Regions from separate parts of the Mus musculus genome. Here all the other regions are reported to be linked to region 2. The links are microRNA targets in miRTarBase. Many come from high-throughput screens and were not tested one by one. Region 2 holds a microRNA gene; each other region holds the end of a gene's coding sequence.
The links. Region 2 holds the annotated microRNA mmu-miR-706 (AGAGAAACCCUGUCUCAAAAAA, at 1,266-1,287, opposite strand). A microRNA usually pairs through its seed, bases 2 to 8, with sites in the 3' UTR of a target mRNA and lowers its output. Matches are read on the target gene's strand: a 7mer-m8 pairs with bases 2 to 8, a 7mer-A1 pairs with bases 2 to 7 and ends in A, and an 8mer does both.

Region 1: miRTarBase lists Rad1 as a target of mmu-miR-706. Seed matches in the 3' UTR shown: 7mer-m8 at 2,805-2,811.
Region 3: the mRNA of Gjc3 is a reported target of mmu-miR-706. Seed matches in the 3' UTR shown: 7mer-m8 at 2,633-2,639 and 7mer-m8 at 2,867-2,873.
Region 4: miRTarBase lists Nucks1 as a target of mmu-miR-706. Seed matches in the 3' UTR shown: 7mer-m8 at 2,237-2,243.
Region 5: the mRNA of Bloc1s3 is a reported target of mmu-miR-706. Seed matches in the 3' UTR shown: 7mer-m8 at 1,069-1,075.
Region 6: the mRNA of Pex13 is a reported target of mmu-miR-706. Seed matches in the 3' UTR shown: 7mer-A1 at 1,126-1,132, 7mer-A1 at 2,257-2,263 and 7mer-m8 at 2,570-2,576.
Region 7: the mRNA of Trim36 is a reported target of mmu-miR-706. Seed matches in the 3' UTR shown: 7mer-m8 at 2,166-2,172.

What each region holds. Positions count from the first base shown.
Region 1 is chr15:10,492,953-10,496,193 of GRCm38, reverse strand. It overlaps Rad1 (RAD1 checkpoint DNA exonuclease), which reads right to left. Exons shown (of 6, transcript NM_011232.3): 6 at 2,499-3,040. The coding sequence ends at 2,863. Among named protein-coding and RNA genes, the nearest start is that of Rad1, 8.6 kb to the right of the region's middle.
Region 2 is chr6:120,033,025-120,036,265 of GRCm38, forward strand. Mir706 (microRNA 706) reads right to left here and starts at 1,287; the gene lies at 1,204-1,287. The region is part of intron 1 of Wnk1 (WNK lysine deficient protein kinase 1); the gene reads right to left.
Region 3 is chr5:137,954,466-137,957,706 of GRCm38, reverse strand. It overlaps Gjc3 (gap junction protein, gamma 3), which reads left to right. Exons shown (of 3, transcript NM_080450.5): 2 at 1-502; 3 at 1,263-3,241. The coding sequence ends at 495. Among named protein-coding and RNA genes, the nearest start is that of Gjc3, 7.0 kb to the left of the region's middle.
Region 4 is chr1:131,930,459-131,933,699 of GRCm38, reverse strand. It overlaps Nucks1 (nuclear casein kinase and cyclin-dependent kinase substrate 1), which reads right to left. Exons shown (of 7, transcript NM_175294.3): 7 at 1-2,666. The coding sequence ends at 2,494. Among named protein-coding and RNA genes, the nearest start is that of Nucks1, 22 kb to the right of the region's middle.
Region 5 is chr7:19,503,980-19,507,213 of GRCm38, reverse strand. It overlaps Bloc1s3 (biogenesis of lysosomal organelles complex-1, subunit 3), which reads left to right. Exons shown (of 2, transcript NM_177692.4): 2 at 1-1,410. The coding sequence ends at 200. Among named protein-coding and RNA genes, the nearest start is that of Bloc1s3, 2.8 kb to the left of the region's middle.
Region 6 is chr11:23,646,719-23,649,959 of GRCm38, reverse strand. Pex13 (peroxisomal biogenesis factor 13) reads left to right here. Exons shown (of 4, transcript NM_023651.5): 4 at 370-2,677. The coding sequence ends at 668. Among named protein-coding and RNA genes, the nearest start is that of 0610010F05Rik, 15 kb to the right of the region's middle.
Region 7 is chr18:46,164,889-46,168,129 of GRCm38, reverse strand. Trim36 (tripartite motif-containing 36) reads left to right here. Exons shown (of 10, transcript NM_001170855.1): 10 at 363-2,830. The coding sequence ends at 717. Among named protein-coding and RNA genes, the nearest start is that of Gm52355, 24 kb to the right of the region's middle.

The sequences.
Region 1 (3,241 bases), not on the chromosome of region 2:
TACTCCAGACTAGCAGGACCACAAACTTTGTGCTGATTCTGGTCACCTCCCATCTGGCCCCGGGGTGCTGGGCTAACAGCTCCACAGCACTGCATCCAGCTTTCTCTCCGAGTCCTAGGACGGAAGGCAGCTCGTCAAGCTTGCACAGGGACCACGTTTACCCACTGAGCCACCTCCTGCTCTCCATCGCGTTCTGAAAGAGTCCACTCCAAACCGCTGAGAGGATCATAGCCTACCCCTTCAGGTAGCTGCAACCATGTTTTACAGGAATACTTTACATCCGAAATTCTGTGATTTAAAAAAGTATAATTTAAGAAATTATTTAGTCTATTTTGAGTAGTTAAATAAATTCTAGGTAGAAACATAAAATGGGGGAATAAACAAGGTTTAAAAAAAGAGAAAAAAAAAGGCTGTTTGTTTACCTATTTCTGGCAAGCAAAATTTTCCAAAAAGAAAATGATATAAACTTCAAAAACACAAAACTAAAAACTTATAAAACTCAACCTGTATTCTTCCACTGGCTGTTTTCAACCATCAGTAGCCTTGGGTACTTTTATTTGGGGACAGGAGTCATAATGACCGGAAGAGATAATTTTAGGAATGTTAAACACATCTTGCAATAGAGTAACATTATTTCCCCAAGTATCATGCCCCAAACCATCAGTGACTGTTAGTGTCTAGCATAGAAAAGAGAAATTTCACTTTAGACATATTTTTTCTACTGAGAAGGCTTATCATATGATTTTAGTATTATGTTTTGTTAATGACAAAAAAAAATCTATTGCCACAAAAGCTATTTTAGTAAAAACTACCCAGGGAAATACAAACATGGCTTGTTTTGTGTGGGGGATATGGACGCCAACCTTGTGAAGGAAAAAGTGCAATGGAGAGCAAGACAGCACAGGCTCCTGCGAGTCCTCCAAGAGTCCTGATGGTCCAGGGCATTAGATCTAAGATGGCTCCTCGAAGGCCAGTTAGACAGCAAAAAGGAACAAAGGCCAGGGCAGTACACCTCTTATCCCAGTACTCAGGAGTCAGAGGCAGGTGGATCTCTGTGAGTTCGAGACCAGCCTGGTCTACACAGTAAATTCTAGGACAGCTAAGGCTATGTAGAGAGTCCCTGTCTCAAAACAAACAAAACAAACTCTTAAAACCAAGTCAACAATAATAAAATTAACCATAGAATGCTTCAACTCAAATCATTTGTGAAGTCACCTGTCCAGCCAGGAAACCCTGTCGAGAGAGAGAGAGAGAGAGAGAGAGAGAGAGAGAGAGGGAGAGGAGAGGAGAGAGGAGAGAGAGAGAGGAGAGAGAGGAGAGGAGAGGAGAGAGAGAGAGAGAGAGAGAGAGGTGAATGTAATAAAACAAAAGCAAGAATAGTCTCTCAAACTGTGGTTCAGCTGTTTTTTTCACACTTTGGCAAACATCAGAATTTTCTGGAGGAAGCTTGAGAAAATAAACATTGCTCTCCCCACTAGCAAGTCTCAAGACAGTTCTGACACTGGTGTGATAGTGAGCCACTCAGCTTTAAGATCTAGTATCTGACTAGACAGTGGTTGTGCACATCTTTAATTCCAGCACTCGGGAGGCAGAGGCAGGCGGATTTCTGAGTTTGAGGCCAGTCTGGTCTACAGTGTGAGTTCCAGGACAGCCAGAGCTACACAGAGAAACCCTGTCTCAAACAAAACAAAACAAAACAAAACAAAAGATCTAGTACCTGGAATGTATACTATTATATAAAGAAAAGAACATATCGGATATGGCTCCATCCAACTTTGTATAGACTCTCAAGATATGTTAGGCTGGGCATAGTGGTGCATGTCTTTAATCCTAGTACACAGAGGCAGAGGATCTTTGAGTTTGATGCCAGCCTGGTCTACAAATTGAGTCCAGGACAGCCAAGGCTATTATACAGAGAAACCTTGTCTTGAAAAACCGGAAAAAAACAAAACAAAACAAAACAAAACAAAAAATCTACTTAAGTGGAAAAACCACAATGTATTCATGTTGATTCACTGATTCCCATAAGTTGGGAAGGTTGTCAGGGGGAAAGGAGAATGCTGGAGATATGGCTCAGTCGTCACCTCAGAGGACTAGGGGTTGGTTCCCAGAACCCACATGGAGGATTGTAACCACCTGTAGCTCTAGCTCTAGAGCATCAAATGCCCCTTCTGAACTCTGCAGGCACCAGGCACACATGCGGTGCCTATACATCCAAGGTAAGCAAACACACACACACACACACACACACACACACACACACACACAATGAACACAGGGTTTTTTTTTTTGTTTTTTTTTTTGTTTGTTTTGGTTTTTCGAGACAGGGTTTCTCTGTGTTGCCCTGGCTGTCCTGGAACTCACTCTGTAGACCAGGCTGGTCTCCAACTCAGAAATCCGCCTGCCTCTGCCTCCCAAGTGCTGGGATTAAAGGTGTGCGCCACCATGCCCGGCATGAACACAGTTTTAAAAAAGAAAAGAACAAAAGACACAGGACAGTACAGTAAGTCGGATAATTTATGGCTATATGAAAAATTTATTGACAAAATAAAAACTATTTACAGATTTACAGAATGGGACTGACCTTGCTCCTATTTTCTCCATGCATCTCTCTATACAATCCAAAATGAAATCATCAAGGTTAGAGAGTTAGAGTGAGAACGCCAACTATAAAGACACAAATATTCGCCGGTCGTGGTGGCGCATGCCTTTAATCCCAGCACTCGGGAGGCAGAGGCAGGTGAATTTCTGAGTTCGAGGCCAGCCTGGTCTACAAAGTGAGTTCCAGGACAGCCAGGGCTACAGAGAAACCCTGTCTCGTGAAAGAAAAAAAAAAAAAGACAGAAATAGTCAGTGAATTATTCAAGACTCAGGAACTTCTTCATCAGGGCAGCAGTAATATTCCACAAAACATATCTGCCCATCTTCATTTCTAATCATGTACTGTAAGGAGAGGAAGCCTCGGTTATCTGTCCGGATAGACACTTTACAGGATAAAGCTAGTGCCTTTGTAGAGGGCTTCAGTAGCGACAGCTTGTATCTGTGGGAGAGTAAAGGAAAGGCCGTTGTTTGGATCCACTAAATGCCATGCATGCAACACCAAGTAAAGACAAAAGTTAGTACTGAGTAGCAAGTACTTAACCGAGGTGCTGGATTTCTTGCCTTATCCACCCGCGATTACAACCCAATATCCCCAAGTAAATCTAGTGCCAACCATCTACTCTTTTTAATGCGATGTACT
Region 2 (3,241 bases):
GAACCTGTGATCTTACTGTTTCAGCCTCATTGAATAACTAAAATTATAGGCCTCTGCTACCAGGTCTAATTTGTAATTGCCTTCAATACCTTCCAAATTGCTATATCATAACTATTTTAATGTTTGTAATTTCTTAACCAAAGCTAAATTACTTAATGCCCTATGATTTCAGGTCCTTATTTAACAAACAAGTAGGTGGGAGAGATAGCCTGATTTTATCCAATTTTGCATCTATTTATGTAGGTACACATGTGCCACAGCAAGAGTGCAGGGGTCAGAAAACAACTTTCACAAGTTGGCTCTCTCCTTCCACAATGTGGGTGCTATATTGAACATCAGGCTTAGTGGCAGGGGTCCTTACCTAATGAGCTATTATTTCCCAAAACCCTTCTAGTTTTAATACACTAAAAATTTTAAAGCTAAGCATGGTAGTACATGCTTAAAATCACACTGCTAGGGAGATAATGTCAAAGGGGTACTTTTTTTCCTTTTCTTTTCAAAGCTTTACTTATCCTTAGGTTTGACCTTTAATTTGAACCCAAATATTTTGATCTAAAACAAAATGATATGGGCTGGAATGATATGGCTCAGCAGTTAAGAACACTGACAGCTCTTTCCAGAAGTCCTGAGTTCAATTCCCAACAACCACATGGTGGCTCACAACCATCTGTAATGGGATCTGATGCCCTCTTCTGGTGTGTCTGAAGACAGAAACAGTGCACTCATACACATAAAATAAATAAGTCTTTAAAAATAAATAAATAAAAATAAAAAGTAAAAGCACACATTTATAAAAAGCCACATGGTGGCTCACAACCATCTGTAATGAAATCTGACACCCTCTTCTGGAGTGTCTGAAGACAGCAACAGTGTACTTATATATAATAAATAAATAAATCTTAAATAAATAGATAATTAAATAAAACAAATGTAATTGAAGAATTGAATTCCTGGATCAGTAATAGATCCTTGGTACAAAAATTCCTATAAATCAGTTTCATCTAAATTATTGAGTATGACTGCCCAGTAGGAGGAGAGGCATATTTTGACAAGTTTACCAAACAAACAAACAAACAAACAATGAAGGTAAGTTTGTCTGGCATGGTCCTGTAATACCAATACTCCAAAAGCTACAGCAGAAGAATCATGGATTCAAGGCCAGCTTGGAGTACACAATGAGTCTTCACAATATAGGGTAAGGGAAAAAAAAAGCCATCTCAAAAAACAAAATAAACCTACTAAAAGTAATTTTGTTTGTTTTTTTGTTTTTTGAGACAGGGTTTCTCTGTATAGCCCTGGCTGTCCTGGAACTCACTCTGTAGACCAGGCTGGCCTAGAACTCAGAAATCCACCTGCCTCTGCTTCCCAAGTGCTGGGATTAAAGGCGTGTGCCACCACACCCGGCTAAAAGTAATTTTTAAAAAATACCTGTCACGGCCAGGCAGTGGTGGCACACGCCTTTAATTCCAGCACTTGGGAGGCAGAGGCAGGCGGATTTCTGAGTTCGAGGCCAGCCTGGTCTACAGAGTGAGTTCCAGGACAGCCAGGCTATACAGAGAAACCCTGTTTTGAAAAAAACCAAAATATTAAATAAATAAATAAATAAATAAATAAATATTTGTCACATTTCCAACTCTTATCAGTTATAAAATTAACAAGGGGTAATTTTTTTTTTGGTTATTTTACTTCATTAATGTGCTTAGAAGTTCCATTTTAAGTGTTGAACTCAAGGAATTATGTTCAAGAACTTGCCAGTTTCATGTTTGCTTCCACATGCTGAGTTAACGTTCTTTCACATTTTTAAAATAAAAACAAAACGAACACTCATTTCCAATGGTGAAAATAAATTTCAAGCATATAGAGAAGTGGAAGAGAAAGCTTAATCGACTATCTTTAAGTGAACAATCATATGCTGATAATTGTTGAAGCTGGGTAATTGCTCACCTTCACTAGATATTTAGAAGCAAACTCCATTTTTTTTTTTTTCTGAGACAGGGTTTCTCTGTATAATCCTGGCTGTCCTAGAACTCACTTTGTAGACCAGGCTGGCCTCCAACTCAGAAATCCGCCTGCCTCTGCCTCCCGAGTGTCGGGATTAAAGGCATGCACCACCACATAGAAGCAAATTCCAAACATTATTCCTTTCACATTTCAAATGACCTTGGGACATTTGGAAACCAAGCTGTTTATTAATTCTTGGGTAAATCAAGTTCTGAGATTATTTCAGTTACTTTCCAATCCTATTTCAGTTTGGTCCATTTTCTTGACAAGAAATCAGTAGTGGCACTTTCATCTATGATGTAGCTGAAATTCTGCTTCCACCACAAATACATGCTCATTTCTGGATGTGAACAAGTGCTAACAAACCAATATTTATATAGATGCTTTATAATAACATTTATTTATCGCTATAATATATATTATATTATATTATATTATATTATATTATTTATATAAATATAAATTTATATAATAAATATAATAACATTTATTTATTGCTATAATTCAAGCAATTAGTAGTCCAAACTAATCTAGCATATACCTGCACTTTATTTATAACCTGAAAATTTCCCTGAGATTAAAAAAAAAAAGGAAGGAAGGAAGAAAGCACTGTAATCCCTCGGACTCTTGGGAAGTTTCATTTAAAAATCTTTTATATCCCTGGCATAGTGGCATTAACTTATAATTCTAATACTCTGGAGGCTGAGGCAGAGGGATCAACAAATTCAGGACAGTCTGGGCTATACTTTGGGACACTCACAAAAAGTCTTTTATAAGATATTACAACAATGATGGTATTATCACAACTTTCAAAGCACTTATACAATTTTGCATGGACTTTTACTATTCACTATGGACTGAATAGGATGAAGACAGACTAATGAACAGTGTCAGATCACAGCTAGCCATAAGGCTTAAGCACCTGTAGGTGGTTATATTGGTAGGTATATACTGTACCTTCCTACTCTGAAAGCACTTAAAGGGAAAGAGAGTTGGGAATCAGGGACTGGGTGGTTGTTTTGATGGTGGTGCAAGACTTTAATCCCAGCACTTGGGAGGCAGAGGCAGGTGAATTTCTGAGTTCGAGGCCAGCCTGGTCTACAGAATGAGTTCCAGGACAGCCAGGGCTATACAAAATCCTGTCTCGAAAAAACCAAAACAAAACAAAACAAAAAAGACAGTGTCTCACTACCCAGGCCAGACTGGCCTTGAACTTGAGGCTCTCCTGCCTCGACCAATA
Region 3 (3,241 bases), not on the chromosome of region 2:
ACTCTGTATCATGTGATTGGATACTGGGAGGTACCAGGAAAGGAAAACAAGGAGCAAGAGACCCAGATTAGCAAAGGGGATCATAGCAAGGATGTCTCAGGGGCTAAAAGCCTCAAGCTTCTCTGGGCCTATGTGGCACACCTTGGGGTACGGCTGGCCCTTGAGGGAGCAGCTCTAGGTGTTCAGTACAATCTGTATGGTTTCAAGATGTCCAGCACTTTTATATGTCGTGAGGATCCTTGTATTGGCAGCACAACCTGTTTCCAGTCTCACCCCTCTGAGAAGACCATCTTCCTCAACATCATGTTTGGGATCAGCGGGGCCTGTTTCTTATTTATTTTCTTGGAGCTTGCGCTTTTGGGTTTAGGGAGGTTTTGGAGGATATACAAGCACAAACTTTCCTTCTTAAAGAAGTTGCCAACTTCAGAGAGCTCTGTAAGATCCAAGGACACAACCGATGAATTGTCAGTGGTGGAGGCAAAAGAGCCATTTTGAGATGCAGGTGAGGACCCTACTGCCAATCATCTATCCCTGCCTCTGATCTCTCTGTGTTAGCAGTCCCCACTTAGAGTAGGCCCCTCATCCTTTGGGGTGTACAGTTCCCATGTTACAAAGTTTCTAAGCAGAGGCATTCTACTTTTACTTTGGTGTGTGTGTGTTTGTGTGTGTGTGTGTGTGTGTGTGTGTGTGTGTGTGTGAGAGAGAGAGAGAGAGAGAGAGAGAGAGAGAGAGAATATTCAGGTGCCGGTGGAGGCCAGAGAAGGTGGTAGATCTTTTGGAGCTGGAATTACAGGTAGCTGTCCAATGTGGGAACTGGGAAGCAAACTTTGGTTTCTTTGCACTCTAACCACTGGGACATCTCTCCAGAACCCAGATGTATTTTTTAAGGGATGAAATGTTTACTTTGGTTCACAGTTTGAGGGTACAGTCTCTCTTGGTGGAGAAGGCATTCATATATGTATATGAAACAGCTAGCCCTGACTGGCGTGAAATTTGCTATAGTAGATCAGGCTGGCTTTGAACTCATGGAGAACCATCTGCCTCTGGCTCTCAAGTTCTAAGATTAAAAGCAAGAGCCACCATGCTCTCAGTCTCATGGCTGAGGCATGTATTTGATTACTACCCCCAAACCGTTTCCCAATACCTATCCCTATCAGTTGCATGACTCCTTGTGGTAGACCCCGATAAGCACACTGGTTTGTGTATTGCCTGCTCTTTCATTTGGTAAAATCCTCAGCTTCTGCTTAATTTCTACTTTTCAGAGTTGTAAAGTTGCCTGGATTGCCTGCAGAAAACTCTGGGACTTGATCTTCAATACATCCAGTGAGGTGGCCGGGGAGATGGTACAGGGGTAAAGGTGCTTGCAGTCAAGCCTCATGATCTGAGATTGATCTCCAGAACCCACACGGAGAAGGGAGAAAACCAACTCCCACAAGTTGCCCACATACATGTCATGAAGAGTACACACACACACACACACACACACACACACACACACAAAGAATAAATAAAATAATAAAATCTCAGAAAACAAAACAAGACCTCCTACATCAATTAGCTGCCACTTCTAATTTTTCTTTCCTGTCTCTCCACTAAATATAAACAAAAAACAGGCTACTTTCTGTTCTAATGGATTATCTATCCTATTCTGGGATTGTATAGAGATGGAATCATACAGTATGCTTATTAATCACTTGTATATCTTTGTAGAAAAGACCAAGTTTTTTGCCAATTAAATTAGGTTATTTATTTTTGCCTTGTATAAACTATATAATTGTTAGATACCTATCAAGTGGCTCATTTCAAAACATTCTCTTCTATTCCATGGGTCATCTTCATTTTCTTCCTGAGTAGCATTTCTTTAAAATTATTTATTCTTTGATAATTTCCTACATGTATACAGTGTGTTTTGATCACGTCTACCCTATATCCCTGTATCACTGCTCTTGGATCTCCTGACATGTCCCTATCCTAATTTCTTGTCCTCTTCTTTTCTTTATAACCCACTGAGAACAAAAATCAGTGCTACTCAAAGTGTGAATTGGTGTGAAGCTATCTACCCGAACACAGTCAACCTACTCGATGCCACACCCAAAGAAGATGGAGTCTTCCTCTGCCAGCATTGATCAACTGCCAACAGTTCCTCAGTTGTGGGTAGTCCTTCTCTCATTCATCCTGTAATGCTGAGTGTCTTGAGCTTGTGCAGGCAACCACTGCTTCTGTGAGTTTATGAATGCAAGTTCCTGCTGTGTTCATAAGATGTTGTTTCATAGCAGATCTCCCAGAGCACTGGATCTTTACATTTTTCTTTCCCATTTCTCCATCTTCTCTAATGTTCCCTTGAGCTTTGGGGGGCAAGGATGTGCTGTCGATGTCTCATTTGAGACTGAATATTACATGGACACCTGTTTCTGCATTTACAAATTGTAAGTCTGTATATTGGCCACTGTTCACTGTAAAAAGAAAAAGTCTGTGGTCAGTGTTGAAAACTGACCTAATCTATGAGTTTCGAGAATCATTTAGAAGACAGTTTGATACTATGTCAATTTAGCAAACTAATAGTGACTTTTCTGTAGGGCTTTTGAGCTCCGCAGGATGGGTTCTTGGCCAGATTTGTAGTACCAGGCATGGGGTTTCTCTTGTGGAGTGAATCCTCAATCGAATCAGAAAGCAGTTGGTTACTCCTGTACCAGCTACACCACTGTTTCACCCATGCATGTGTCTTGTGAGGCTGGTTGTTGGAACTCATCAGATTCATACATGAGAAAGAGTTTTGATGACTAGGAAGGCTACCCAGCATAGAGTTGGCAATATTTTTTGATGTACAAAACTTTACATTTTTTTCCCAATTCTTTTTTGAGACAGGGTTTCTCTGTGTAGCCCTGGCTGTCCTGGAACTCACTCTGTAGACCAGGCTGGCCTCGAACTCAGAAATCTGCCTGCCTCTACCTCCCGAGTGCTGGGATTAAAGGCGTGCGCCACCACGCCCAGCATTTTCCCCAATTTTTTATTAGGTATTTTCTTCATTTGCATTTCAAATGCTATCTAGAAAGTCCCCTATACCCTCCCCCCGCGCCCTGCTCCCCGCTCCCCTACCCACCCACTCCCATTTCTTGGCCCTGGCGTTCCCCTGTACTGGGGCATATAAAGTTTGCAAAACCAAGGGACCTCTCTTCCCAATGATGGCAGAGTAGGCCATCTTCTGCTACATATGCAGCTAGAGACAGGAGCTATGGCGGTA
Region 4 (3,241 bases), not on the chromosome of region 2:
CAGTCATTATGAACTGAGGGGCACACCCTCATATCATTGTTACACCTAACTGCTGAGCACCGGTTTCCAGTTGAGTCACATTAAATGTGTTCCTGTTTGCATACACGATTTGAAGGGAAGACCAGAGTGTTATAAACCACTAAAAAAAAAAGTGAAAACAAAGGTCACTTAAAGCCTGTGTGCTCATTTGAGACACCATTAACCCAACTGAACTGTAATTAGAAAATATACCTTCAATCTAATGAGTTAGTTTTAAAAGGAATTCTAAACAAGTCCAATCAGACACACCTTTTACACAAGTAACGTAGAAGATAGTATTATTTCTCAATTATAGGTAGATAAAATCAGAGATGTTAGTGCAGATTATTAAAGAGATTGTTAAAAAATTGAGGCCTAAAGTTGAAAGAGACCCTACCCACAACTTTTCATGAAACATAACCTAAGAAAAGCCTAAATGTCACTAGGAATGTAAGACTGAGTTATAAACCCCTAAAAGGGAGAGATGCCTGGTGGAAATGGTGAGTCTCTTCTTTCTTTAAGGACGGGTTCCTGAGCAAGCCCACCACAGCAAATAGAATAATCTGTAATACCAACTACATAGCTCACAACCTTATATCCCATTACAGAATACAATAATCCAACTGCTTATGTTCAAGTTTCTATTTTTGGCCATGTTAATACTCATTTATTAGCAGTGCAGGGTTGAAATAACTCTCTGCTACTAGGTGCTTTATTTATTCATTTATTTATTTTAAAGCAGATCTAAGAATGTTCTTTAAAGTGTCTTAAAAACCAGAGTAAAAATATTTCTTAAATAACCCTTTGTCCTATGAACACCTATAAGAAAATGACACTGTCTGAGACAAACATGTCACTTAAAAAACACAAAGGCAGAATACTGAGGAAGCAAATTTAGCTTAAGTGCAGAAAAATATACAGAAATTACTCCACTAAATTTTTAATAGCATAATAGGACCCCTAATCTTTTCTTCTATTGGCGAGTGGGACCTGAATGTGGAGGATCAAACCTGATCTTGATGCTTTGCTAAGGTATCTAGACTGTTATCAATGGCACAGAGGCACCCTAAATAAAATACAGTTCATTCATCCCATTGAGGCTCAGGCTCTTGCTTTAAAAAGAAGCATAAACAGAAAGGAGGGGTCAGACCAACTAAGAAGCAAACAACTCCACAGTATGGAAGCAGCAGGAGGAGGTTGTGAGATTATGTCATTATCATGTTACTATGGAGGAAAGATTTAAATATCGAAAGGAAACAACTGTGGCATGGTTCATGGGCCCTCATTTCAATTATTTGTATTCATAAAGGATAAATCTCAATCTTTTATATCTGAGCTTCACACTAACTCAAACTTTATTTGCTTAAAACTTTTAACATTGTCAGCCTGTGAAGAAATGCACTGTGAGGGGTAAATTCATCATCGAAATTCAAAGAAATCTCTTTTTAATTTTGGATCATTGGTGAAACTACCCAAAAACAGGAAGTATTTTAAAAACTTGAATCAATGAAAACATGAATAAAATATGAAATTAAGACTGATTCTGGTGGCCTACTTAAAAAAAAAAAAAGAAAAAAGACCGTTATCAAGACAAAAGAAGCACTGGCTCTGAATCTCTTTGAGAATAACAAATCCACTAAGTTCCAGGAACACCATTCCCTCCACACCCAAGGAAATAATGTGAGTGCTGAGTTAATCCAGAATTCATGTTCACCCCAACTGCCTCACTAGTACTAATTTAGAGTCATGATTCTTTTTGACACTTACAGTTCAGACATATAAACTCATGTTAAGTGACAACTGGTCTGTCAAAAGTACAGGAAAAGAAAGAACAAATATTTAATTAAAACCTTTCTAGTTTTTTGTTTTTGATTATTGTTCAAGTTGCTGTTCTCTAGCAAGAAGCAGTTTCCATAGCGTCCACCTGAAATCTTATTGCTTTGCAGCCATGGCATTCCTTCCCTCCATTGACAACTCGAAAATCAAACAGTCACTCCAGTGATTGATTGACATGGCTTTCGTGGGGGGAGGGGATTGGCAAAGAAAAGACTGAGACAAAATGGCAACTTAAACACGTAAGCATACAATGGTTTTAAGAGCCAGGCGGTGGTGGTGCACCCCTTTAATCCCAGAGCTCGGGAGGCAGAGGCAGGCAGATTTCTGAGTTCGAGGCCAGCCTGGTCTACAAAGTGAGTTCCAGGACAGCCAGGGCTACACAGAGAAACCCTATCTTGAAAAAAAAAAAAAACCAAAAAAACCCAACAACAACAAAAACCAAACAAACAAACAAAAAAAAAACCCAAACAAACAAAAAACCCAATGGTTTTAAGAGGGAAAGAGATATATGATAGAGAGAAAAACATTATTCTAGACAAATGAAATAGCACTGAAAGCCCATGAGTCAAGCCACAGCCCAAACCGTGTCCTACAGAGGTTTCCTTTGTTTTTAATAAAACCTCTCCCTAAACATCACTTTTAATCTTCCCCAGATGAGGCTTCATCCTCGGACCCTTCGTCTCCGGACTTCTTTTCTGGAGGGCTTTCTGCTTCCTCATCCTCTTCTTTGGGAGAAGGAGTTTTTTCCTTTGATTTCTTCGAAGCTGTGGGGCGACCCACTTTCGCTTTGCCTTTCACTGGACTTGGCGTCACTGAAATATGGAAAGTAACAATTTGGGGAACAGAAAAAAATGCCTTTTAAAAAAATCATTTACAAAACCAAAAGTCTGTAAGTATAAAAATTTATCCCATCTCACTAAGAAGGAAACACACGAAAAGGCGCATTACTCCTAGTGAGGATTAGGTCACATTCTGAGCAGAAACTACAACTATCAAACAGGTTTGGAAGCTCTAAAATATGGCGAGATGAGTAAAACTTTTTAACAAGAAACATATTAATTATATTTGCCAGAATGAAACTCTAAGCAAATCTAGACTTCTGATTTAATAAATTAGCTTGAACCAGGAAAATACCTGGCAAAAGCTTTGAAGACCCAGGAGATAAATCTTTACTCTCAAAGGTAGTTTGGTTTCTGCTATCAGTATCCTGACAGAACAGAAGATGAGAACGGAAAGCCTTCCCCAGCTGCTAGGACTACTGTCCCCAGAAGCAGCCAAGGCTTCCTGAATCTCTATTAGGGTACATTGTGTCTGAAATGAAGATGTCATTCCTACATACAGTCCAAGCCCATAGATTCTTTTCATTAAAACAAAACAAGACCTTATT
Region 5 (3,234 bases), not on the chromosome of region 2:
GCGATGTGGCCGCCCTGGCGGGGAGGCTGGCGGCTGCTCAGGCCACCGGGCTGGCAGCCGCCCACAGCGTGCGCCTGGCGCGCGGGGACCTCTGCGCGCTCGCCGAGCGCCTGGATATCGTGGCTGGCTGTCGCTTGCTGCCGGACATACGAGGGGTCCCTGGTATGGAGCCCGAGCAGGACCCGGGACCTAGAGCCTAGGCTGTCACTCTGTGTCCCCCCACCTGACTCTGCCTCTTGGTGAACATTCGTACCACCTGTGGCATCTGACTCTGTTTTTGTTCCTGGATCACCGAGGCCTCCAATGCGTGGTAGCATTTGATCAATGCCGACAGAAGCCGAATCCTCGCATCTTCTTTGATATTCTTAGCACAATTCCGGGCTCCCCAACCCAGGTTCTGTGGCTATCAAGTAGCTTAGCCCCTATCCATTCTGGTCCTGTTTCCTAAATTCAGCTTTACTCTTGGGCAAAGCCAGAGGTTTGCTTTCTTTTGTTGAGCCTTTCTGAATTTAGGCTTTGGGGGGTAGTGGTGTCTCTCTAGTTTACATCCCTAAATGATGATCACTCCTGACCCGAGGATACCTTCCTCTTACACATATCCCTCTTACCGACCGCTGTGGCCAAATGCAGACCAACCTAGGGCCTGGGTAGTAACCCTAATTCTTAGGCCTTTGTGTCAGGGGCAGCGCCTCCTGGTGTTTTGATCGCTATAGAGACATGACACCACAAATACAAATCTACCACTCACTGTGTCTCTTTCTGGATGCTAAAAGGACTTGGATTCTGACCTCTATGGGCCTCGAGGATAACAGGTTCTTTTTGCCTCTTTGGGTTTGGCTCTTTGGGTGTCTTTTTGGCCACTCCTTTTGTCTCTGTCTTAATGAGGATTCAGTGACCTTATGTGGAAGGGAGCTCGGGTGGTGGGGTGAGACTGTAGCTCAGTGGTGTCGTGTACGCTTAGTGTGGGCGGCCCTGGGTTCAATTCCTAGGACCACCCTGCTTCAAAAGAAACAAACAAGCACATTCTTTGTTTGTTTGTTTTGTTTTTGTTTTGTTTTTTGAGACAGGGTTTCTCTGTGTAGTCCTGGCTGTCCTGGAACTCACTTTGTAGACCAGGCTGGCCTCAAACTCAGAAATTCACCTGCTTCTGCCTCCCAAGTGCTGGGATTAAAGGCGTGTGCCACCACTGCCCGGTCAAACTAGAACATTCTTAGATGCCTGTGTCCCCTTTAAAAATTTACCCAGGGTGGGGGGTGGGGTGGGGCTGGAAAGTAGAGGTCCTGAGTTCAAACCCCAGAAACCACATGGTGGCTCACAACCATCTGTATTGAGATCTGATGCCCTCTTCTGGTGTGTCTGAAGACAGCTACAATGTACTTATATATAATAAATAAATTATTAAAAAATTTACCCTCTTGATTCTAACTATCAGCTGATATGCTATTTTGTTTTTACATCAACTAGAGTCAGGGTTTTTATTGGTAATTAGGCGTGGAGATTGGGGATTTAGCTCAGGGTTACAGCTCTTGCCTAGCAAGTGCAAGGCCCTGGGTTTGGTCCTCAGCTCAAAAAACAAAACAAAACCTCAAAAAAATCCAACCAAACCCCTCCCCTCCTCAAAAACAAAACATGTAACTGGTGCATGTCAGGCAGTGGTGGCACACACCTCAGTCCCAGCACTGGCTGGGCAGAGGCAGGCAGATCTGAGCTTGAGGCCAGCTTGGTCTGTAGAGCAAGTTCCAGAACAGCCAGGGCTACCCAGAGAAATCCTGTCTCAGTTTTAAAAAAGGAAAAAAATTGTGTGCACATATGTGTGTGCTTGCAGGTATGTTTACCCAGTATGTGTGCTGTATACAGGTGTGCCTATATGTTCAGGTGTGTCCATGTGTGTGTGTAAGCACGTGTGCTTGCATGTGTGTAGAGCTTCCTGTGTATAAACAGGTGTGTCTGCATGCATGCAGGTGTGACTGTATTGTGGGCTCAGGTGTGCCTGGATGTGCAGATCTGTCTGCAGATGTCAGGAGCTGTGTATGTGCATGTAAGGGCCTGTATGTGACAGGTGATGTGCAAGGCTGTCCTCTCCCGAAGCTCTGCTGTGCCGCTGGCACAAGGCCACCACAGAAAGGACTTGTTGACCTTTGAGTTCCCTAGAAGAAGGGGGTATAAGGAGGCTGTGCCACCTCACCTGAGGGTCCAGCCACTCTTCACAAGCACTTGTTTACAACTCTGCCCTAACTCCACCTGTGTCAGGGACTGGGTAGATGTACACAGACCAAGAAAGGACAGAGAGGGGGCTCCATGTACACAGCCACACACAAGCCATCCCTACTGCATGCATACCTTCCAGTAGGGCTGCTCCTGCTCTTAACCCCACACTCTTGCTCCATAAAGCATGGGACCTTGAAAGGTACCATGGTCCCCGGCTGAGCTAAGGCTAGAAGCCGAGGAGAGCCTGAAGGGACCTAAGGAGGTTTACCTGCTCCAGGGCACCAGGCCTGTCACTAGCAGCAGCCCCACCCCCATAGATTTGTGACCATCAGTCATGTAAGGGGAACGCCCAAGCCCCTCCACTCGTAAAGGCTGTGACCTGTGGTCAAGTAGGCACAAGACAGATCTCCATTTTTAACAAGGTTCCTAAAGGCCTGGAGGATGTAGCCAGTAAGCTTTCCTTCCCAGACATTCCTCCCTGCATCCACTTTCCGTCATGACAATAAATGCCTCAACAGTCCTCCTGCATTCCTAGTGCTGGATTGATTATGGGCGTGACCCATCCCTCTGGGAGATAGACAAAACCCAGGGTACTCGGTTGGTCAAGAACAAAGGTGAGGGTCCTGAGAAAATGGTTCAGTGGCTAAGAGCTCTTGCTTTGGACACAGGTGAAGCTGGGGTCCAATCCCCAAGAACAAAGGCAGGCACAGCTGCGCATGCCTGGAACCCAAATTGGGGGTGACAGAGACAGGAAGATCCTGAGAGCTTGCTGGCCAACCAGCCTAGCAGAAAAGGCAAGTGTCCAATTCAGTGGGACCCCCATCTCAAAACAGCAAGGCAGTGCAGGGTAACAGAAGAGGACACTCAGCAGCCAGCCCTGACATCCACATGCACACACGCACATACAGAGGTTGAGGCTGGACAGGGTGAGGACCTGCGTGGATCCAGGCCACAGGCAGAACCCCTTATCAGTGCAGGAATGTAGCTGGGGCTACAGGTTAGGGGTAGTACTAGGTGGGGACAGGG
Region 6 (3,241 bases), not on the chromosome of region 2:
TTGATGATCGACAAGGCCATCCTCTGCTGCATATGCGGCTGCAGCTGTGGGTCCCTCCATGTGTACTCTTTGGTTGGTGGTTTAGTCCCTGGGAGCTCTGGGAGTACTGGTTGGTTCATATTGTTGTTCCTCCTATAGGGCTGCAAACCCCTTCAGCTCCTTGGGTCCTTTCTCTAGTTTCTCCATTGGGGACCCTGTGCTCAGTCCAATGGTTGGCTGAGAGCATCCACCTCTGTATTTGTCAGGCACTGGTGGAGCTCCTCGGGAGACAGCTTTATCAGAAGGCTCTGATTTTGCTTAACATACATTATCATTAATATTCTGTTGGATTCCAAAATGTACTTAAAAGCTGTCTTTCTCTTTCTTCAGAACAACAACCCAAAGTGCGTGGTTGGCTTCTGGCTAGTCTTGACGGTCAAACAACAGGACTTATACCTGCAAATTATGTCAAAATTCTTGGTAAAAGAAGAGGCAGAAAAACAATAGAATCGAGTACAATGCTCAAGCAACAACAGTCTTTTACCAACCCAACATTAATTAAAGGAGTCACTACCACCAATCCTTTGGATGAACAGGAAGCTGCCTTTGAATCTGTTTTTGTTGAAACTAATAAGGTTTCCAGTGCACCTGATTCTACAGGGAAAAATGGAGACAAACAAGATCTTTGATGTGTTTCATGTTTGTGGGCAGGTGAACAATATTTTAGAGTATTTTAAAAAATCATTTCTTACAGAGAAATTAATTTGCAGTTGAATGAAAGCATTTGCTCGTGGCTGTGCCGAGTGTTCTGCTGCTAGAAGTTATGTAGTCACACGCTAGCTGCTAGTCAAGTGATCTGTCTACACTTGACTGTCTTGTGGACCACGAGGACATTTGTTTCACCTAGTTTTTAAGATTATGGAGATAGTTGTCAGCTCCATCTTATCTCAGTCCCTAGGCTTATTGGAACAGTAAATTTGATGAACAGTAGAACACACAAGCTGCCTCAGAAGGGATCATTAACGCTTCTTAAAGTTCTGAGTTAGTTGACTTGAAGTCTTCAAAAATTGAGTGATAACATCTACTTATAAGAACAGACAAAAGGCTAATTTTTTTAACCTTATAAATAAACTAAATAATAAAAATTTTCTCATCTGTATTATGTCCAGTGTTGAATTTACTTTAGGTGATGTGTTTTTACCAGCAAATAATTGATAGTATTATCTTTTATTGTATTTATAAAAGTGTGTTCTTAAGAGGTCACTGGAGCACTGTGAAGAAGATGGTTCTGACTGACAGCTTCTTAACCTCCTTACAGTGTCACAGATCTCATCCTGAGCGAGTCACAATATATAGCTAGATCTCATCCTGAGCGAGTCACAATATATGGATTTTTGTTCTTTTCCTCCAACTAAGGCAGGAGTCCTTTAAGATTATACTTAATGATATAATCAATTCTGGCAGTAATGATTTTTAATCCTGAATTTTCTGCTTCTATATAAGATAATTACTTTTGTAAATTCCAAAATCAGGTTATACATTAAATATTTGAAATATGTCTGTCGGGGTTGGGGATTTAGCTCAGTGGTAGAGCGCTTGCTTGCAAGGCCCTGGGTTCGGTCCTCAGCTCTGGAAAGAAAAACACAAAATAACAAAAGGACCAAAAAAACCCAAGGTAACTGAAATATGTCTGTCACATTGGATAGATTTCTTGTGGTTTTCACTACTGAGACTATAATTTGCTTGCTATTTCAAATACGATGACTTTTTGTTTGGTTGTTTTTTTTTGCTTAATAGTGAATTTTATGTGTTTCCCCATAGAATTGGAAGCTTTATACGCTTGCTGTGAATATACTACAGATTAGAACTGTCAGAAATAAATCACAGAATTCATTTATAGACACTACTAACAGCTGTGGGTTTTGATAAAAAGTGATTTGGGTTTTGCTTCTTTCATATAGATAGGTTTATCAAATAAATAATTCTGGAGGAGTTCATATTAAACCATGTCTAACCCAATATCTGCTCAGAACAGAAGCACTAAAGACTTCCTAGGAAGCCCTTTTTTGAAATGACAATATAATAAGTAATGTATCTTTTCATCTTAAGATAGAGAGAAGCATTTACGGTACTCATTTATCTTTTAGGCTGATTTTTCTGACATTCAGTAGTAACTTTTCAGTTGAGAAAGGGGGTTGAATAATCTACCACTGAGGCATGGCCCTGACTCTCAAAGGTTTTAACAAATATTTACTTCTGACTTGAGATGCCTGAACTTTTCTCATGTCTAAATGTTACTCCAGACATCTAGACTAAGCACTAGGAGTAAAGTAGAAATAAAATGTTGAGTCAGCACTATTTAGGTTTGGGGTGTTGTTTTGTTTTAGAAGATGAGCTTTAAAATAGGATTTGTGACTAATATTTCAGTTGTATAGGAAAGAGCTTAGACAAATAAATGATAAAACTTTCTTTTAGGGTCTTTATTGTTTGGCTGTCTATGCTAGATTATATAGTATTAACCTAATAACTACCTGTGTCCATTCTTTTTTATTTGTTTGTTTGTTTGTTTGTTTGTTTGTTTCAAGACAGGGTTTCTCTGTATAGGCCTGGCTGTCCTGGAACTCACTTTGTAGACCAGACTGGCTTCGAACTCAGAAATCTGCCTCCCAAGTGCTGGGATTAAAGGCATGCGCCACCACCGCTCGGCCTGTGTCCATTCTTTATTAAAGTCTTAGAAAAACAGTTGTAGGACTAGAGTGGCAGAAAGTTTTGTGGTTTAGAGTAAATGAATAGATTGGTCACAGCTCCAATATAATTTTAGGGACTTCCTGAAGTAGCATTACATCACAGGAAACTACACTTTCAATTAAATAATTCATAAGCTACAGTAAGAAACTAGATATCAGAAGCTTTAATTGTATTTTGTCAGCTTGGGAAGAAAAAGATTAAAGGACTATAAATGCATTTTCATGTTCTACATCTTACTCAAGTCTTAGCCAATTATTCATTTACCTGAGTGCAGCGGCTCTTTATTTTATGCTGTCTTTACTGGAAAAAGAAATGAAATACAGTTAAATTTGTATTTTTAATAGGTTGTGAAAATACTTTACTGGAGAATTAAAAATATTTGAAACTTAATTTCTTTTTTTAAGATTATAGCTGCAACAGAACCATAACATATACTCCACACAAAGCACAGTACAATGTGAATGCATGCATGTTCCTCTCTCTGCTAATAACAAGAAGAGTGTTTCTTTTAGTG
Region 7 (3,241 bases), not on the chromosome of region 2:
GTGCCTGATTATTTACTTATCTCACAGATAAGAGCGTAGTTCTTTTTATTTTATGACTTACCATACATATTTAATCTCAAATTAGGCTCCTCGATTCTTCTGATTTCTTTCCAATGGAAATAAGCTTTTAAGTTGCTATTTGTATTTAAATTTAGATAAAAATGGATGCTACTGTGGTGAATTTGACACTGAGCACAGAGGACAACTCTGCAGGACAACTTATAGTCTGTGCTTTAGGTGTGTTCATGGAACATTTGTGTGTGTGTTAACTTTAGAGCAGTGTGCATTATTTTTTGAGTATGTTGAAGACCCTGCGAGACTGTGGCTGGAGGTGAGTCACTGTGTTTATTGTTGTGTTGTAGATATGAGCAAGACAGTGGACATGACAGTGGAAGCGAGGACGCCTGTTTTGATTCTTCACAGCCCTTTACATTAGTTACTATAGGCATGAAGAAATTTTTTATACCCAAGTCACCTACTTCCTCTAATGAACCAGAAAACAGAGTTCTCCCCATGCCAACGAGTATAGGGATTTTCCTTGACTGTGATAAAGGCAAAGTGAGCTTCTATGATATGGACCACATGAAATGCCTGTATGAGCGCCAGGTGGACTGTTCGCATACAATGTATCCGGCCTTTGCCTTGATGGGCAGCGGAGGAATTCAGCTTGAGGAAGCCATCACAGCAAAGTATCTGGAATATGAAGAGGATGTGTAGCTTGGACACCCCACGTGACTGATGAGGATAAGAACCGTGAACAAAGCCATGCCTTGATGTTAATCTAATTACATATCATTTACGTCTCTGTCACCACACCTGTTTGTACTGTGTGATTCTTTGTTTTGTCTTGTCCTGCTGTGACACACAGGGTCTTGCTGTGTAGTCCAGGCGGGCCTCAAACTCTGTTCTGTTATAGCCTCTGGAGGGCTAGGATTATAGGTGGGCACCACCATCCCCAGCTAGTGTATGGTTCTTAAAACTCAGAAGGACTTCACAACCTTGTCTCTTCCACGTCATTGTCCTACCTATTACAAATGGTGGGAGTGGAGGCTTTCTGTCTTAACTGGTCTAGAATAGATAACTTTACAATGGAAGTCCTTCTCTTTGGCCACAGGGACTCTAATTGATGTAAGTCTAATTGGTTATTCATGTCCCTTTGTTTGGGGGCTGGGGTGGGATACAAAGTATTTATTGTGGTTCTTTGAGCTTGTTTTTTTTTTTTTCCTTTTCATTTTGTATCATGTTCATGTCCAAAGAGAAGATATTTTTGAATGCTTACTGATAGAAACTAGTACTAAGCCATGTGTCTTGCATTTGATGTTAATAGAAAAATAAATTTATAGATAGGTAAAATGACAAAGGCCATAAAATGGTAGTATATTTAAGTAGAAAGTTGTGTATTTTAAAGTGTGTAACTACTGAGAATATTCATCGCCTGGCAAATGAATACTGCTTTTTTCCCTGTAGACCACAGACTGTATTAGTAAGGACATCTCTAACAGTGTCCTTGTTGTAATGCCCATTGTCTGGCACATGTAACAAGCATCGTTTCATATAAAAACACAGGGTTCTTGAACCCGTGCAACTTTTCACTACAATATAATTATTTCCAGGAAATGTTATCTTCAAATTTTCTTACTTTAGAAAATATTCATATTTATAGCAAAGAATTATTTTTCAGAATTACTAGGGAAGATGGACTGATAGTGAACACGTGTCTCTTTGTGTCTTGTGAATTTTATGGGTTTGGTACTTATGTTGTACATCAGGGTTTTATGGTTTTTGTTTACAAATCTGAGAAGTTCACTGCCCATTTTCAGCAGCATTGAAATACCAGACATGTTACATGTTACTACTGTCCAGTTGGATGGCATTATTTGTGGGCTCATTGTGTGGTCATAAGCACTTGTAGTGTGAATCAGTAAAGTACAAAATTCCTAGGAAATAATATGGAAAATCACAAGGATGTGTCTAGTCAGTTTTTATATCTTTTCTACATTGAATGTTAATTTCTGCAAAATTACCTTCTGATTATTTGAATTGCCTTTTTAAAAGTTAAAATGTCCAGACACTAAGACATGTTTTCAGCACTGATCATGTATGGAATGTTAACATTTTAGTAGAATAACCAAAGCTGTTTATTTTATTTATTTTTTCGAGGCAGGGTTTCTCTGTGTAGTCCTGGCTGTCCTGGAACTCACTCTGTAGACCAGGCTGGCCTTGAACTCAGAAATCTGCCTGCCTCTGCCTCCCAAGTGCTGGGATTAAAGGTGTGTGCCACCACTGCCCGGCTCTATTTGATTATTTTTAATGGAAGCCTGTTAGGCCAATCACACTGCGTCTGACGCAGCACTGACTGACACACACACACACCCCTAAGCTCGTGTAGAAAGGTGTGGAGGATTTGTGTTTAGTGATTGTCCTTCCTCTCCCATTTATATGTAGCACTTTATGACATAGGAAACAGAGAGAATGTGCAGTGTTACCTGGGTCATTGTGCAATAAAGCTGCTAGTGTCACCCGTGTGTGGGTTAGTGTGATACTCAATACTCATGTGAGCACATGTCCTGTAGACGTTTTAAAATATAAAGCTTTAACAGGAGTCAGAGAAGGAAGCTGTTCAAACACTGTATCACTCTATAGAAATTGCTTAGTGGAATTTCAATTTTTAATAAAAAATAAATAAATAAAGGGAAGCCAAGTGTAGTTATTCAAGTCTGCACTACAGGGATTTTTTACTCTGCTTTGTGGAAAACCGAAACAGAACACTTACTATAAGATGCTTTGTGGCACATGTTAATTTTTTTAATTAAAAAAGATTTATTCTTAATTACATGTATGCGAATGTGCATGTACACATGGATGTGAGCGCCCATGGAGGCCAGAAGTAGCGGATGCCCTGGCGCCAGAGTTAGAGGTGATTGTGATCTACCCAGCACTCGTGGAAAGGAACTGGAGACTCCTGGACCAGCAGTACTCACTCTTATTTTTATTTATTTTTTTAAAGATTTATTGATTTATTACATGTAAGTACACTGTAGCTGTCTTCAGACACTCCAGAAGAGGGAGTCAGATCTTATTACAGGTGGTTGTGAGCCACCATGTGGTTGCTGGGATTTGAACTCAGGACCTTCAGAAGAGCAGTCAGTGCTCTTAACTGCTGAGCCATCTCTCCAGTCCACAGTACTCTTAACCTCATATGTTAGTTTATTATTTTGAACATTTATTTAATTCTAGTATG